3 linked regions of the Coturnix japonica genome follow. The protein of the gene in region 2 interacts with the protein of the main gene of each other region in a biochemical or structural test. Links are inferred from orthologs where the notes say so. Each region holds a gene or a part of one and is shown on either strand. Other genes may lie near its edges.

What was found.
Region 1: the proteins of CUL4B (region 2) and DTL form a complex in vitro, tested with the Homo sapiens proteins (2 studies listed by BioGRID). The link is inferred for Coturnix japonica from reciprocal best matches to the Homo sapiens genes CUL4B and DTL.
Region 3: the proteins of CUL4B (region 2) and AMBRA1 form a complex in vitro, tested with the Homo sapiens proteins (2 studies listed by BioGRID, with this or other methods). The link is inferred for Coturnix japonica from reciprocal best matches to the Homo sapiens genes CUL4B and AMBRA1.

The regions. Positions count from the first base shown.
Region 1 is NC_029518.1:19,431,489-19,437,240, forward strand, and holds part of DTL (denticleless protein homolog), read right to left. Parts: intron 2,417-5,752; coding exon 1,575-2,416; intron 366-1,574; coding exon 300-365; 3' UTR 1-299. UniProt on the Homo sapiens protein: Substrate-specific adapter of a DCX (DDB1-CUL4-X-box) E3 ubiquitin-protein ligase complex required for cell cycle control, DNA damage response and translesion DNA synthesis.
Region 2 is NC_029519.1:15,295,345-15,301,718, reverse strand, and holds part of CUL4B (cullin-4B), read right to left. Parts: intron 4,395-6,374; coding exon 4,279-4,394; intron 888-4,278; coding exon 784-887; intron 1-783.
Region 3 is NC_029520.1:21,105,085-21,111,023, reverse strand, and holds the end of AMBRA1 (activating molecule in BECN1-regulated autophagy protein 1), read right to left. Parts: intron 3,599-5,939; coding exon 3,108-3,598; 3' UTR 2,073-3,107; downstream 1-2,072. UniProt on the Homo sapiens protein: Substrate-recognition component of a DCX (DDB1-CUL4-X-box) E3 ubiquitin-protein ligase complex involved in cell cycle control and autophagy.

The sequences.
Region 1 (5,752 bases), on a different chromosome or scaffold from region 2:
CATCACACCAGTTGCTCTCTTTATAACAGCAATCACATAAAAAATACTGTTTTCTCTATAAAAATGATCCATTACCTGACATGAATAAAAGAGCATGAGTCTCTATGTATCATATTAATTTTCTATGCTCTGAGGATTTCAAGTGTTAATAGGCTTTATAACAGAAGAGTTTACCGATGTCCAACAACAAACTGTGTAATGCTGGCATATTACTCTGTCAGCTGTGCTAAATCTGGTCTCAGTACCACAGTGTCAACATCCAACATCCATCAGGTGCATCAGCCGCACACAACTTCAAGTCAGTTCTGTGGCTTTCTGTGGAAGTACGTGCAGATCTTCCTCATGGAAACTGGAGTGGTTACAGCCTACAAAAAAACAAAACCAACAAGACATGTTTCTGAGTTAACAGTTTGTATGCTGCAGAATTCTTAAAGTCTCCTTTCCATCACTGCTCCAGTTTTAGCTTCTCAAATCTGAGCTAGAATATACTATGTGGGAGAGATAATTGTTTTATGGTAATCACTCTCCAGGGCAAATCTTAGTCTTTATGTTTAAGCAGGTACACCATAAATCACAAGCACTTGCAGGTTTTCTTGGTACCACTACAAGATGAAGAGTTCAACTGCTGCGACCCAAGGTGTGGTGGTCTGCACACTTCACACCTTGTAGAAGTACTGAAAGAGATGCGAGATATTTCAGCAAAACAGGCCCTAAACATGGCAGCAACTTCTAGCATCAAACATTCACTTGAAAATAAAGCGAAATTTTGACAATTGGAAATTTACTTGGAAAGCACTGAAATAATATTCAGTCAAAGATGCTTTAGGACCTAGAGCCCAGTTTCAGAGTTTAGTTTGTTTTTTAAATATGTAATTTCTCAGTATGCATGTTAAATCCTCCAGTCCTCATGCCAACTTCTCTAGCTGCTTTATAAGCAGGTCATTCAGATCCTAGGATGAGCTCAGTGACAGGTTTCTTATATAGCAAAACTAAGATTATGTAGGTCAAATCCCACCCTCTGACTCTTCTGCGATTCCTTTGTTTTCTGTTAGTTTTCAGTAGAAAGAACTGGAGGCATTACTTAGCTCACGGTTTTAACATGGGTAAAAAGTTCTCTGCTGCTTGGGCTAGAATAAAATTTAGCTCTTTCTTCCAGTGCTCAAGTGGCTTTTCAGTAGTATTAACAGGCAGATGTGACACTGAACAGTAGATCTGCCAGGAAAGGTGCTGTCATTATTGCACTTCTCAGAGAAGAGCTGTATTTCAGAAGACAGCCACAGCCTTCAAACATCCAGCTGGGAGCTATGAGGATTTCTTAGCTTCTGTGTGCTCTAAGTCCTTCTCAAAGGAGGTACAGGACCATCTTAAGAATTCTCCTCCAGCACAGAATGGATTAGTGTATTACAGCATTAATATACCTAGATTATTAAGCGAGAAATAATCTCTTGTCCATAATTAAAGATAGCAGACAATTCTCCAAGCGTTTATGAGAGATCTGACCGTGTGTAGAAAGGGGACAGTGGTACCTAGGAATAACTTCTCTCGTTACCACTGCCCCTGATCATCCTACTTACAGCTTTTGGTGAGGTGGTCGCTACCGCAGCCTCTTGACGTTTTGCACTGGAGTTGTAAGATGATGGGGGGCTGCCAGCTTTGCCAGTCCGTAGCCTCTCTCCCAGAGCAGACAGCCAGTTTCTTCTTTCTGGTGAACTATTCTCTTTATCTACAACATCTGAGTGTCTCTCACCAGGAGACTGTAAAACAAGAGGGGGAGTTGAAGTGCCGGATGGATTAACATGATTTCCAGGAAAAGAAAGCTCTTTTGGGCTGTGGCTCTTGTCTTCATGCTCATTATCCAAGTCAGCCAGATTTAGAGAGCCCTCATCACAAGCTCTTTGGCCTGCAGCCAAGTGACATAAATTTAGCTTGGACTTCTTAGCCACATGGTCCAGTTCAGTCACACAGCTACAGGCCTGCAGACACTTCTGCCCTGCTTCATCTTCCTTGCTGCAGTCCAGCCTTCTCTTGGCACGCTTTTCAGCCTGTAAGTGTTGTGCTTTAGGAGTGCTAGATGTTTCCAAGAGACTTTGTGTGACTTCTGCCAGGGCTTTTCTAGGAGAAGGTGTCTTTTTCCCTACTTCTGGGGAAGAGCAGGGAGTCCTGGCAATCCAGTGTTTAATGGACATTTTGGAGGAAGGCGCCAGTTTGGGAGAAGCACGTGGGCTGACTCCACTCAGCTTTGCTGGAGTGCAGACTGAGGCCATTTGTGTTTTGAGAGAGATTGTTGGAGTGTTTGTAGATAGAGGAAGGTCTCCAGAATAACTGGGAGCACAGGCAGCTGGACGTGGTGAGGAAGCACATGGGTTGCCCACTGAGAAGGCCTTGGCAGGAGTATTCTGCGGGCTGGCTGATCGTGCTGATGGAGCAAAAATAAGCAGTCTGATGAGAAACGCAGAGCAGCAGACTAAAAACAGCCCTTTCATACCTGTCCCAGCTAGGAGATTAATTCAGTGCTGCCCCCGATTCTCAGATATACCCTGCTGAATTAGATTGCATGGATGCTTCTTTTAACAGTTAAACTGATACAAGTCCACATAATCCTGTATCACTTGGCTAAGTATAATACAGTACGTTGGCTTAATGTCTGACTTCTATTCCTTCTATGACTAGAACCCTTACTTAAGCTGTAGCTGAGGGACTAATGGATAGACAAAACAGATCTTGAATCTTCTAAGTTTATCGAGCCTTGCTGGCAGCTTTGCAATAGCTCAGTCCAGACAGCTCTGTTTTGGGAAGCTGCCTGAAAACAAGGCTGGCTCTCTATTCACAGCTGGTCAGTCTATCTGCCCAATCTTTAACAGTTTCATGATTGAATTAAGGGACAAAGGTACCAAAGGTACAATTAGCAGGTCCCATAGCTAATTGTACCAGGAAAGCTTTATTATGCAGTGCCATGCCACAGGATCAATGCTCCTGGTCAAGCATTAACAATTGCAATTTTTTAAGATGAAAAAAAATGAGAATGGGAAAGTACATACTTTCACCTTCTTGTCTTTTTGATGGAGAATTTTCTGCATTGCTATTTTAGGACAAAGATGGCAGTTATTTACCACACCCAATGACATATGAGAAATTCTTCACCTCCCCAGCAAGGATTTAAATTCCCAAGAAAAAAAAAATCTGTCACTGGCCTTTAAAACAAATGACCTCCTGACAAATACGTCATAATGGTGTTTGAGCTCACTAGTCAGGCTGTTAAAATCCCCTGCTTTTAAAGCAGAAGCTTCTGAAAACCCAGGTTATTAATACAATAGTCAGAGGGTAGCTTTACACCTAAGACTTCACAAGGTCCTTAACAGTAACAGCGGGCATCATATATAGCAAAGATCTCAGTCTGCAGAAATACTAGAGAATTTTTTTTATAGGACACTCCAACAGAGAACACATTTACATGTCTTTTAGATGCCTGCACATCTAACTTGGGGTGATGCAATCAAATAAGATAGCATAAGATAAGACTCCAAGCGTTTCCTCTCCCAGGCACAAGAGCTCTGACTGTTTTCAGTTTTCCAAAGGTTTAATCCAAACTCATAATTTTCTACATTAGCTGCTGTAAAGTACTTCATTACAACAATGAGAAATCTAGTGTGAATAACTTGCCTTTTTCATTAGGATGTAGGGCTGTCTCACAAACAACATGTCAAGTGAACACCTACATGACTCTTTGATACCATTACAAGCCTCTTTTGACCCTTCCTCTTATTACATTATCTAGCCCTTTAAAATAAACGACCGGTGCATGAGATCAAAAGGAATATGACACCATATTAATGGATCTCACTACAAATCACCTAAAAGCAGAGAGAATTAAAGGCTCCTTTCCAGACAAAATGTGCTACTTCATAATAACTTACTTCAACTTGGACTAAGAGAAAATCACTGCCAAGATTGGGTCTCTTAATCTTCACTTTAATGAGCACTTACAGAACAATAATATCTCAGCTGGGGAACCCAATGCATTTTCAAAATTAAGCTCCTAGAGGTAGAAGAAAAGAAGCAAGCTCAGCAGTTCTCGTTCTCTAATGACCATCTACAAATCCGCACAGCAGAAATGTGGCATGATCAGCTGGGTTTGAGCACTCTCAATCCCATACCAATGTGAAAGCTACACTGTGGAGACCTTGGATAACAGAAAAAAAGCTGTTATGAGAGCTGGAGGGGGGTCATGGCAAAAAGCAAACTAGTTATATCCCCAAACTTAAGACAAGGATACATTAATCAGGCTTCTGCTGAGCCAGTCTCAAGCTGCTCCCCTTCATGCTGCCATTCCACATAGCATTGCATGTCTCCATATACTGTATCTGCAGTCAAGTTGAATAACACCAATGCAGATATCTGAGAAATTTCTCACCTTTTCTGCTGCAAATTCTTTAGAATGGTATTATGAACCTCCAGATTTAAGAGTCATGAATTTTCCATGCGCAGACCTGCTCCAGGAATTTGGTTACACAAAAGCATAGAGAAAGTAGTGCAAATTAGGGAAACCACAGAAACAGTTTCCAAAGGAAAGGAAACTCTGCTTCCTACACTCCATAATATAGGTCAACAGTTAATGTGCATCCTACGCCTCACAATTCATTCCACACAAATGGGTGGAGAACTACCTAGACTTCATCCCAGCCGGTCTGAAATACTACTTAGTTGCATGCTCTGAATCAGTCTCTGCAGATAACTCCTATATTTTAACAGCATGTGCTTTGTGTTCAAGAGCCAAGGTCAGCAGGAAGCCTGCTGTTGTGTTTGCAGTGTCTGTGCACTTCCTTTTCCCTCCTGTGTTGCTTTAATGCAGCAAGAAATAAGCTATTTTTCTAGTGTAATTGCTGAAGCCGACTTGTAAAGTTTCAGCATACAAATCACTTTGGATTTCAGACTTCTACACTAGACTCACATTTACTTCTCTTCTGCAGAAATTAATACACAAAGTGTACTTCTCAGCCTGCTCTGAAGCAGTATGAATGCACACACAAACCGTAAACCCTCAGCAGAGCAGAGCTGGCACTCTCCCTGCTATTGTCTTGCAAACTTCCTGCAAGACTGTTACTCAATGGCAAAAGGTTAGATGTAATATTATCACTTTAGTGGGATTTGGAGACCTTCAGCCCTTATATGTGTTAGCCAAAGTGAAATTTATTCAGAGAGTGGCTAGAAAAGATAGGTAGAACAGAGGAACTCAAGCCAACAGCTGCTGGAAAGCTATTGTATTACCAGTTTCAAAGCCATGCTACAGAGAAGCTCACCTTATTTCTCTCTGTCAGGGTTATTTGCCTCTCACCCACCCTACTGTAACAAAATGCAAGTTTCAAGCAAGTCAAAGTAGCACTATGATGCAAGATTCCTTTCTTTTCTCTGGGGTACTGCCCAGTGAGCTGCTCCTCTTCCAGAGAGTAGCAGCAATTCACAACCAAGGCTACACTACAGACATACAACTGAATTTTCCTGCTGGCAGTTCTTCAGATGGATATATTGTCATGATCTTGATCAACCTTAGATATTCCTGAGCGTGGCAGAGCTGAGATCTGCCTGCTAGCTGTGAGAGCATGCTGGATTTTTTGTCTGATCACCTGGGCATTGTAGAAAAGTATTACACCTGAATTGATGGACATGATTGATCAATAATGTAACATTAAAATCACATTGTGATTCACAATTGCGATCATCTACATGCATTTTGGAAGCACTTGCACTAACTGCC
Region 2 (6,374 bases):
AAGAATTAAGAATTAAGTTCCAGCCCTTTGCTCCTTACACAGTCCCATGTCAGGTGCCATTCTGCCAGAGTATCCCTCTGCTGTTATCTGTCACATGGCCACACAACATAATGGGACACTGGTGGGAAGGTTCGGCCTCTATTGCCATTCCATCAACATCATAAAATAGGAGGCATTACCTTTAGAGCAGCCTTCCTATATAAGACCCCACTACTACAATACAGGTACAGTAACTTCTGTTCACATTAACAGGTAACATCAGGAGATAAAATTTGTCCTCAAAATTCAGCTTGCAGCATAATTCAGGTAGCAATCAAAACCCACTTAACAGGATCTCACTCTGATGCAACTCCAGACTTCTCCAGATGAAGCATAATTTGATCCCCAGAACCATTACCATCGTACCTCCCCAGACCAGAAGGACTTTTCAAACAAGACAGGAACTAGTTGCTCCAACTTTCCTATTTACCTGAACGAGGCAATTTCAGCATGTGATACAATGAACGGTCTTTCAAGTCTTACTCTGAAGTCTAATCTGAACTTCTATAAAATGTCAAAATGTTTCTTAAGAACTAATGAAACTTTCTCAACAAGTTTGCAGATGGTTACAAAGGAACCAGAATTGGTCTTCACGAGGTCGTACAAAAGCACCTTTAGAACCAACTATGCAAAAACCAGGAATTCAGCTCACCATAGTTCAGTGTCATGAACTACTTAGAGAAATCCATCACTACAAACTGGCAGGTAAAAACATTTTGGCTTGTCAACAGCTAAAAAGGATATTCTCTGAACTGGTGAATTTGTGCTTTAATGTGGTCTTCACAGATTTGTCTCAATTGTTTGTACAAGTTTGCTGAAATCTTGTAGGAGCAGAGATTTTCAACAGCCTGAAATAAAGAGAAAGCAATTATAAGAAGTCTGTTTATGCTCTCACATGTGGTTTTACAAGGAAAAAAAAAGACATGGGATTCTTCTGCTTCTCACTCAGAGTCCATCATCTTCATGCCAAACACTAGAGATACAAGACATTGCAACTGTACTGAGAGACAAAGGAGAGCTGTGCCCTGAGCAGATTAAAACATGAGGTCTTATTAGAGCACGCCTATTCCATCACATTGAAGCCCCCTCAAATACTTGCTAACAGCCACCATTACAAGCACAGCAATAATCAAAGCAGTTAAACTGGTAATCACTCCTGGGGTACACAGCACTTCTTGATGTAGGCAGCACAAGTGCAGTCAGTAAATATGGGCTCTGTGACACAGCAAAGCTGGAACAAAATAAAAACCAGCCAACACTGCCAACAGGAAAATCAAACTTGCATAAGCTCGACAGAAAGAAACAGGTAGAGCAAGAGTAAGCGTGACAATTAAAGCTGAGCCAGCATCTTCTAAGCACCAATGTACAGAAATATGAGCCAGGTATGTGACATCTGAGTTCGGATTATTAGAAAAGACAGAAATTGTCAAAATACACAGATCTTAGTATTTGTAAACAGCAATAAATTTAACTCTTAACATGGAAGGAATCCCAAACAAACACAACAATACAATAAGAACACATTCCAGATTACATTTCAGAGTAGGTTGTGAAGGACAATCAACTCTATCGTGCTGTACCACCCATAGGGGTAGGCTCAACATTAATTCCCAAGATCTGCTGCTGTTTAATGGCTACTTTGATTTCAGAAGAAAACAATGATTGAAAACACCAAATTTAAAGAGACTGATAAAGTTCCATCGAGTGCAGTAAGCAGACTACTACTTCTCTCACTTATTTTGGAGGAGACAACAAAGAGCAAGAAAGATGGATGTTCCTGATTTGCTAGCTGCCCGCATAGCCCTGCCAGCCTCACTTCTAAGCAGCACTCTGACCCCTGCAGCTATTTCACCGTACTTCACCAGCAGCTGAGAGCTCAGCTCAGCCACTTCAGCTGAACATCCTCCTCACTGCTGCCTATCAACCCAAGTGCTATTTAACCACACTGCCACAAGTCCTTATAAAACTTGGCTTTTTCACTGCAGGCAGAAAGACACACCTATTAGCACATATGAGCATGTGCTTGCTTCTATACATCATTCATATAAAAGCTGTGCTTTCCCATTTGTGCATCAGAAATCCCAAAATCTTAAACAGAAGGCATGTGCTTGAATACCAAATACAAAGCTGCTGCACCTTTGCTGGTAACAACCACAACAATATTTATAATCTGTGAATTCTGCCCAACTTACTGGCATTATGATGATGATTTTTAAGAAGACAAACTTCCTAAGCGCACAGATAAAAGCGTTACCAAATCTGCTCCACGAAGCACAACGCTGCTGCAATGCTACTGCCAATTTTATTGCTAGACTTACAAGACATAATTCTATCTAAGGAATTCCTGATAACTTTAGAAGCTGTAATTCATCAGGTGGTTTTATTCTGAATTGCCAAATTAAAACATTTCGTGAAGACATCGGTGTCTTACAGATGGTCAAAACATCTGAATCCATGTTCAAGATGAATTCTAGTCTTTTAATTAAAGCATCCAAACTAGGGTTCGTGTTAGGGAAAGCAGGGACAAAACAAGCACTGCTCTGACAAGGGAACCTCAGAACTTCCCAGATGTACTGTGATTAATTAAGGGGAAAAAAAGTAATTATAGATAAGGTACCAAAGATCGAGATCTTTACTTTCTGGTATTAACAGAAGAATTGTTCCCATAAAGCTGCAGTCAATCGCACAGAATTTCAGCCTCTCACAACTGTGTTCTCTCTCCTCTTGGAGGGGGAATAGAGTAAGTGCAAAACTAACAGCCACAAACTAACAAAACTTCAGTGTCTGCTCAGCAAGTTTTTCCAACACAGACAAGAGTGAAACTAAACAACTCCATTAAAAAAGGCATCCTATTTTGATATGTGCTGCAACAACTTCTGCAGACTCCTGCAACTTCCTCTATGCTTGGATAGTGTCTGCCAAGGCACATTTGGAATCAGATCCATTTACCAAACAGTTATTCAGAAATGACATCAGTATGCACTAAAAACAACAGTGATTCCCAATCATTTTAAATCACAACACTTTTATATTTATAAAAATGAGTGTGCAATCAAGTATGATTTCTCTATTTTCTTAAAATGTATCTACATCATTACGATGTTAAAACAGATTTAAAAGAATAATCTTATCCTTTTTTGTTAGCACAAGTGTCATCAAAAACGAAGGCTGTGAGAAAAAGCAGCAGGAATTTAAGTGGCAACTTCATAGCACAATACAAAGTTGTATTAACAACCTTGCATCTTTAAGCCATTATGAATACAGTGCACTTATTTGCTCTGTTGTTCAGTCTAGAGCATGTTATTTTAGATATGAACTAATCTGGTGGTCTGTACTTTGCCATTAGTTTCACCACTGAGCATTATAAAAAATTGTCATAACCTTAAAAATGCACCAGACCAAGGAACTTGGCCTGGGAAGATCCAGGTTTCACAAGGAAAATAACTTATTTTTCCCCTTGATCTGATCCCAAACCTTCTGCAAACTGCATTTCTGCCCCCAGCTTTTCACAGAAACCAGGCAAATCTAAAACAATATTTAGCAAGAAGGGGAGGGAGGGAATGAGGAAGAACAAACTCAAAAACAGATGAACTGAACAACAGATACAGAAACAGAGAACAACCAACACTGTAATAAAACCTTTCAAAATAATGAGAGTGCTTCCCTATACCTAGCTTAAGTAGTAATGCCACTAAAACCTTAAGTTCAGAGTAAGTAAGGAGGAAAAGTCGACTCCCTATCACATTAACTCAAAAAGAAAAGTTTATAAATAAAACGTTACGAGATGCAGCTTAAGACCAATCACTTCCTGAAAGGTTTAGGGCAAAATAGTCAGAGCTGTTGCAGGAAACAAACAGATGTTAGTTCTCAGTTAGAAATAATGCTGAATGACAAGCAATTACAGACAAACCGAACCAAGACAGTATTATATTTACTTTTAGAAAGGCAAACAAAAAATGGTGGTTTTCAAATTAATTACCTATGAGCCTCAATCAGAACTGTCAGTAATCCTTTTCTTACTTAAATACCACCATTTTAGGACTTTCATATTTCTCCTTTAGCAGCCACACACCAGAAAACCCAAATACAGCTACTTGCCTTATTTGTCAACAGAACGTCACGTTCCTACCATTGCTGTAAGATCAAACAACAGGAAAAGACACCAAAAAAAAAAACCCTAAACCACCGAGAAAATCCCTCACCTCAACACTTGTACTTAAGTGTACTTAAAGCACTTACCTGATAGAGCTCCTCTAAGTTGTACTTAATGGAAGTACTGTTCTGGATTGCTTCTACAGCTTCTTTCAGTTTTTGCCAGGTTTCATCTGTGTAGTTTTCAGGCAATTTGGGTTTATCTTGAAAAAGAAATTATTTTAAAGAGTTTGAGGAAGCGTTTAGTAAGAGCAAAAGATTTTACCTTTTACAAAAGTAACTCAGAGAGGAGAATGTATACGTTGATGTTCTGAGTTATACTTCACATGTGAAAAGAAAGCAATGAGGCAAAAGCAGTTTCTTACATTTGAAATAGTAACACACTAAAAATTCAGCACTGCTCTTCATGTACACATGACAACATCAGCAGCCCTAAGAGACTGTGATTGTATTGAAAAATACTAATAGAAAACATTCTAAATAACATGTTTATGCAGCTCAGCGAGGGGAGCACTAAAACCCAAGAAGACTGTTCTGCATTTTCATTACAAGCCCTTCTAGTACCAGAACAGCACAGCTAATAGAGGGGGAAAAAATAATCAATCAAAGCAACAAAAGCTGAAAATGATGGATTAAGGGATACGGAGTCGTGCACAGCATATTTCTAATTAAATATATAATTTCAACTCTGCGTTAATATTTGGAAAGAAACTCCCAAGTAATGTGCATAGAAATACTTAGTTTAATACAGGCTTTATGGTCACGAGGAAAAATCTCTGGATTTCTAACTAATCTATTTATGTTTCTCTTGGGTTTGGCCAGAGGATATTTGTAGAGTTAAGGCCTCTTCTAATGCTCGTATAGCTCAAGTGTTTGCAGATTTTCCAGAGGCTCTGCTACGCAGTGCCCACAACAAGACCAAAGCAATTACCACAGCATGAAAAAGATCACCCATGTCACATCCTCAGAAAACCAAGACTGCTTTAAAATGATGTGTTCTCAAGCTCACTCAAATGACCCCTTCTGCTGGGTCATAGAATTTCCCAAATGGAGATGGGAAAAGGAGAAAAATCGGGAAGTCAGATGCATATCCTTGTCACCAACAAGTGAAGTTGACTGCACTCTAATGGACTTTGCAAACTTAAAGGTAAAAACCAACAGCAACAACAACAAACCCCACCAAACACCTCAAAGCTTTATCATTTCTCTTGGGGATAAAAAAAAATAATCCTTCTTCTGTTTACTTCCCCCTCCCAAACATTTCCCTACAGTAATGGCAATATCCCAACACTGACTGTACCGTACAGAGACAACTCGCTACAACTGGGACTTGCTCATTTCCACTAGCCTGCAATGAATACGACATACAGGAGTAAATAGCAACATACTGAATCTTAGGAAGATGTAAAGGACGTGTATTGCTATCGCAGACAAAAGCACACTACGATTATTAGTCATCTTGGCATATGAGCATAAATAAAAACCAGAGATGCAGATTCTCAAGACATTCTTTTTAAGGAAGTGATTCCAAGAGCAATTTATAAGCAATGATGATTGCAGCTCCATGTCATCCCTGGCATGTAGTTAATATTTTCAATGTGAAAAGTTGCCTTCTCTTAAAAATAACAAAGTACATGCAGTGGCAGCATTTATTTCTTGCCATCATGCACCCTAAGTACAAGGTTTTAAGGCAACCAAATTAACAGATGGTGACATGGCAGCACGGGAAACAGACTGGGAACATTCTTGAGAATTAAGTAGTCCTTAAAGCAAAAAGTCACACTGGAACATTACAGTGGCTCAGGTAATCCTTAATCCTCACCTTCTGTGCTATCTCTACAGCACATTTGTATCAACCGCCTCTTTAGAAATACGTTTTAATCTCTGTCAGACCTTTAAGCCCTCTCTTCTCCCACCCAAACATAAGAAGAAAAACAAAACCACTCAGGAAAGTAAGTTCTTGAATTACTTTGAAAGGGAAGAATGGACTAACAAGAAAATCTCACAATTCTCAGACGTTTTTTAGGATAAAAACTACAGAATTTTAGCTAGGATCGCTGCCTTCACCTAGTTCAATTTTGTTCATTAGAATATCATGCTGAATTCACATCAGAAAGCTTCATTTCCCTGCTTCAGTTGATCTCAAGTAACAACATTGGAAAAGCTCCACCATGTTGGTTGAG
Region 3 (5,939 bases), on a different chromosome or scaffold from region 2:
CATTAAAAGACTCCTGACAAGCTATGGCTGAGAAAAGCTTTTGGTTTTTAAGATTATTTCCTGCTCCTAAGCAGCAAAGCTCTCATTTTGCCTCCTAAATTGGGCCAGCAAACACGCGTGGCTCCAGCTCGGTTTCCTCAGGCAGCTCGTGTTGAATCTCCACCTCGCTCCTGGCAGGGTGCTTGCCTCCGTGCTGCGTTATCACGCTGCAGCAAGCAGATAAGCTGCAGGCTTTTAGGAAGGAGCCTCACAACACCGCTGCAATCCCACAACCTGCGCTGCACAGTACTCTGTACCTCAGGCAGCTGGGCAGATTGTGGGATGGCCAAAGGCCCATGCTAGAGTTTAGCTCAGCCTTGCTCTAACCAACCTCCAGCTCATGGGCTAAGAAGTCCAAGGCAAGGGAGGGGAGCTGTGCTTGGCACATTCTAGGACTGCACTCCAAAAATAAAATACGCACTTCACACACAAAGTTCAAGAGCACCTGCTGGCTTTGTGGCCATATAGCAAGATGCCTACAAAGCACATCCAAGGCAGCATCTGAGGAGTAAGCCTACCCGCTCCATTCCTACTTACAGCTTGTACAAGCACAGAGGCCAGGCCATGGCTGTCACCACACTCTGGCCCAAAGCTAGAGAGCCGGTTAAGAGGAACACCAAAGCTGCCTGCTTTGATCAGGTCCCCCACCCTTATGTCATCTGTGGGCTTTCCCCACAAGCCCTCAAACAAGCAGCTGCTTTGGAACTTCAGAAGCGTCCCAAGTTGATGCCAAGTGGAACGGCTGCAGTTTGCTGCAGCTCCCACTGGAGTTCACTGCCGCTCTGCCAGTGTCTCAACGGGGACAGGTCCTGACCAAGTGGCAGCTCCCAGCAGAAAAGCTCTGGGCCCTGCACAGAGCAGCCCTCCATGGCACCAGGCCTTTGAGAACCTCTTGCTAGAGCAACACAGCCCAGAAGATCTTTTCCCAACCATGATGGAAATTTTTCCATAGGTAGTTTGGCTCTGGTTACAGAAATGGACATGTGTAAATGCTCTGCAACACATCCACTGAGAATGGGCCTGAAGACTCTTCCAGAAACCATGCAAGGAGAGGGAACAGGAGATGCCAGGCTGAGCTGAAGCAGAAGCATTTTTTTTCCAGGCTCTGTTTTTGTTTTCAAGCAGAGCAGTAAACAGCTCTGCCCAGACCTGTGCTGCCCTGTGCTGCTCGAGTCCTCAGCTGAGACAAAGCTCCTCCAGCTCCCAGTGTCGGCACATCCTCCTGCCACCCGACACTGAGGCTATAGGGATGCATGAAGCCTTCCTCATCACACAAGGGAATCCCGTTTTTCAGGCTGCTCTCCTGTCAGATCAGGGATGTGGTTGGCTCAGGGCAGGTTTTAGAGTCTCATTAACACTCTGCAATGAGGCCTGGCAGCAGCTGATTTGATTTAAGGTTCATTTCCAGGCTGTGATTTAAGAGAAGATTTGCTTAATGTTCTCTAACAGACTCTTCTGACTGGGAGCCTGAGTGCTGCCTAATGACAGCCTTATTTATTGTAACATCTTTGCAGTGCAGAGTCTAGAGGAGCAGAGCAGAAGCACAGCAGCTGCTGGCAGGTGATCTGATGGCAGAGGAAGCATCCCTCAGTGCAGACAGTGGTAACAGACGCTGGGGCGTGCATTCCTTTATCCAGGACAGCCAGACCCTGGATCTCTTTTCTGCTTCAAGAGTTCAGCAAGACAGATCCCTCTCTGCTTGTCTAAGATGGACAGAGCTGTTACGTACCATTTTGAACAGGACAGGGGAAATGCTCCACTTTCTCTCTGTTGCAGTACCTGAATGATAGGAAATGCAGAAGTGCCTGCTCATCCCCAGACTGGTTGAAAGGCAAATTGCAATTGAGATTCTCTATTCCTCCCCTCTGCTGCATAGTTGAAAGCCTTCCACTCCAACGCTGAGCCTGCCATCCTTCCGGAAAGGGAATGACCATTATCTGACGTTTGTAAGCTACCCTGAGTTCCTGAGCTGGATGTACCTATCTCCCAAAGTCAATCCCATAGAGATCCATCACACAAATGAAGACAGTAGGTCAAGCAAGGGTTTGTCATATTTTAATGACATTAATCTTTGGTGTTTCCCTCGTTAGCACTCACACTCTCCCCGTCCTTCCTCCACAAACCTGCTAGGGATGGAGAGTTACAAACGAAAAGGAAAATCACATTTGAGACTAAAAACAGAATATCAGAGCCTTGATTTCTCCACTAGAAACTACATGTACAAGGTCAAGATTTCACATGCAACACCTTACATCACAGACCCATACCTCACACCCTGGCCTGGAGCTCAAAGACATTTCCTGCCCCCTGCCAAGGAGGTGCAGCTCAGTCCTGGCACCATGAAACCACTGGGATGGCTCATTCATGTTAAATGTTGGCACAACTTATGAACTGCATCCTGACTGGAGAGCAGTAGCCCCTGTCCCTCTATTCATCTACATAGCAGCTCTGCTTAGGTTCCTGGCAAGTACTAACCTAATTTCTAAGAAGGAAAGATCCCCACGTGTAAGCAGTTCCCGAGCCATGAAGGTTTTGATGAATCCTAGCTCTTCCCAGAAAAGACCACAGCACAGGACTGTGTCCTGGAAGACTCCTCTGCTCCAGCAACAGCGCTGGAGCATCACGCCCAGGTTTGCACAGGAGGGCTGCCAGTCTCCAGAAGGATGCTGCAGGCCTGTTTCCCTTCACTCTGCTGATCAGCCCCTATGCATAAATGGGCAGGAAAGAGGAAAGGGGAGAAGCATTACAAAGAATGACACTGACCAAACTGCAGGGTTGAGCTCAGGGGATCCCACACGACTTCAAAATCTGCATGGAGTACAGCCAGTATTGTTTATATTCCTGTTCTTATTCAGCAGTGGGAATGTTGGAAGTTAAGATACTATGCTTTCTTGCCCATGGCTTCCTCGCAGTTCTTATCCATTGCCACTCACCCAGGACATAGAAACCCTCTGAACTACCAACATCCTGTTGGAGCCACATGTCCCTACTCTTCCAGCTTCCGGCCAGCTGTGAGGTACAGGTCTCTGCTGAGCAGTACAAGGGTAGCACCAACACACAACTCATTTCTACCTGTTCCGCGACTCCCCACTGGTGCTGTCATTACTATAGAAGTTGGTACTGTCAGGAAGATGGTTATTATTAGTTAGGTCACTGTATTCGATTGGTCCCTCAGTGTCCATGGAGGGCTGGGCCTGCTCCGGCAGGTCCAGGTCACCAGTGCCTCGTCCTTCACTCCCACCAGAAGATGTCCGCGGGCTCAGGCCGTGCTCCGACAGCTGCATAGACTCTGAAAGGATCCGTCCCTCCAGCTCAGATGCCAGCTGCTGTGAGGTGGACTGATGTGCTGATGTTCCCTCAGCTCCAGTGGACTCCGCACCAGTCTGAGAGCTGCGGTGGATCCGGTGACTCACTATGATGTTGTTGCCAAAGCCACCCATGGACGCCATGGTGGTGCTCTGCTCCCGCTGCACCACAGCAGTCATGCCACCTTCTGCCATCAGCCTTTGTATCCTGCTCAGGGCATCCTCCCCACCGGCCCCGTATTCTGGACCTTCACCTGCAAAGAGAGAGCAAAAGCAACTTTGGTGCATCAGGCAGACTAAAGCACCAAGAAAATGCATGCACAATGTCACTGAATAACAGGGCACGTGTGCTGGGACAGAAGACAGGCTTTGCTCCAGTGGAAGTTCAGTATTTCATTTCTGTAACTTTCCTTCAAATGCCAAACAAATGCAGTGCCCTTAGTCAAGAAGTCCAGTGTGTAGGTTCCTGCTCTCCCCAACAGGTATTTTTTCGAGGAACATCTCTTAAGGTTTTTGTTTACTCTCCCTCAAACTTCCCCTCATAATCTGGTTGTACTGAGCTCTGAGGGAACCACTGTCAAATGCCTCTGAAAAAGAAAATCTCTTGGAAAAATAGCCCATGTAGATTAAAACCCACAGCAGGAACATTCAAGCCCAGTTCTGTTTTTCACCATTCTCCTTTTGCTACAAACCTTAACCAGACCGTCTGGGGAAAACAATCAGTAATCATGAACTGCCAGAATCATTCCACAGTGGGATCCTGACGATTCTTATTAAAGAGATAAATCTCACTCCCAGCTCCATGAAGCTATCACAGTGCTGATTAGAGGAGGAGAAAACCACGAGCTCTCCTGGCACCAAAGAAATCAACACAAATGTCAACAAGGCTAAGATGTAGGCTGAAGTTAAAACACAACAAAAACCAAAATGCCACGCTGACTAGGAAGACAAAACACCTGGGACTGTGGGATAGAGATCGTGTCTCCAGTATGGGAGCTGGGATATTCAGCACAGACAACACCATGCTGCTGTAGATGTTATTTTTTGTGGAAAAAACAAGATAGTTAAAGCTGTTAACATTTATGCAGTCAGTCGGTGACAGCTTACTCCTTTTATTCTCTGTCTCAGTGGTATTTGCATCAAATACCATTGACTTCCTCCACCACAGAGTATGCCTAATTTCTTCAAGCAAGCCTGCTGACATACTGCCCTGCTGTAGAAACACAGCAGATATTAAGGGCAAGCTTAATTCTCACAAGCAGAATAAGTCCTTTTCTGCTAGGAACGTAGCAAGTCTGCTATATCAACCATACATACAACAATTACATAGCTCCTTGATTAGGGCATTAGCGAGACTGTGGAGACACCAGTAATCACATGAGAATTTGGAGCAGAGCCCAGAGGATTGTGCAAGAACACCGACTGTGCAGAGCATGGCCAGTAACTGCAAGCAAAGAAATCCTATCCAGGATGTTGATGCATGAGCTAGGAACCAGACTGACCAGCACAAGGAAGACCAAGAACAGAATAAGGAAGGATTGGAAGGACTGGAAACTTCAGTGTGAAAAACATGAATGCCAGGTAATATTGGAACATCAATCTTGAGCAGGAGTAAGTGGAAGGTTTGAGAAGCATGGTTTTGAATTCAGTCGCTGCTGCTTCCTTCTGGGGACACAGTCATAAGCACTTCATTACCAACCATCTGGTCAGGCCAGACAGGAAGCTTGAGAAAGCCAAGATGTGCAACCTGGTTGAGAGGAATGCCAGCCCACCCTACCTACACAAGCCCTGGAACAGCAGGTACTGTGCTCTTGACAGATCGCCTGCTATAAGCTGGCCCATGCAGGAGTGCTGGAACTGTGTATCAGCCAGGATCCCCAGCCGATACTCCTTAACATTACAAACATATGCTTCACAAGAGGAGTCCATGCACACAGCGCACACTGCAGCATCTCCTGCTATTCCCATCCCCTTAATTACTACACGTTATGGCTGAACTGCCAGTTAAGGCACATGCCTCCTCAGAGAACAGGCCAGGGCTGATGCCATAGTAGGAATTGGAAGGTCAGAAGTCCTCAGACTACAAGAACTGAGACACAGACATGCTGGAAATGCCAGAAAGACAGATTATCGAAGGCCAGAAGTCAGCTTTACCATTCAAGTGGCCAAGAAGCACCTCTACTCTGGGAGTTAGGGAGTTGTCCTCTCCCCTTCCCACTCTCCTCAGGTTTCAGTTTCAGCTGACTGGATCAGAGCAAAGCTTCCTGAGCAGCGTGCCTTGTGCTGAACAACAGCACAGATTCATATAACAGCCTATTTCTACTGTCTGGTGACTCCCACACATGTTCTTCACCATGCTGCCAAGGCAGACCACACTAGTTCTCCATGCAAGTGAAATAAGCTAACTTTCATTTAGTGGACATTCAGGCTACATACCCAGGCACTTACCCAAAACAGCAAGTGACCTGAACCCAAACCCAAGGTCACCAGAAATTCCAGCTTGATGTAGTGGTGTGAGCTGACCCACTAATTCAGATGCTCAAAGATAAAAATAAAAGCATTTTAAAATTAATTCATGTAATGTAGAGGGAGAGG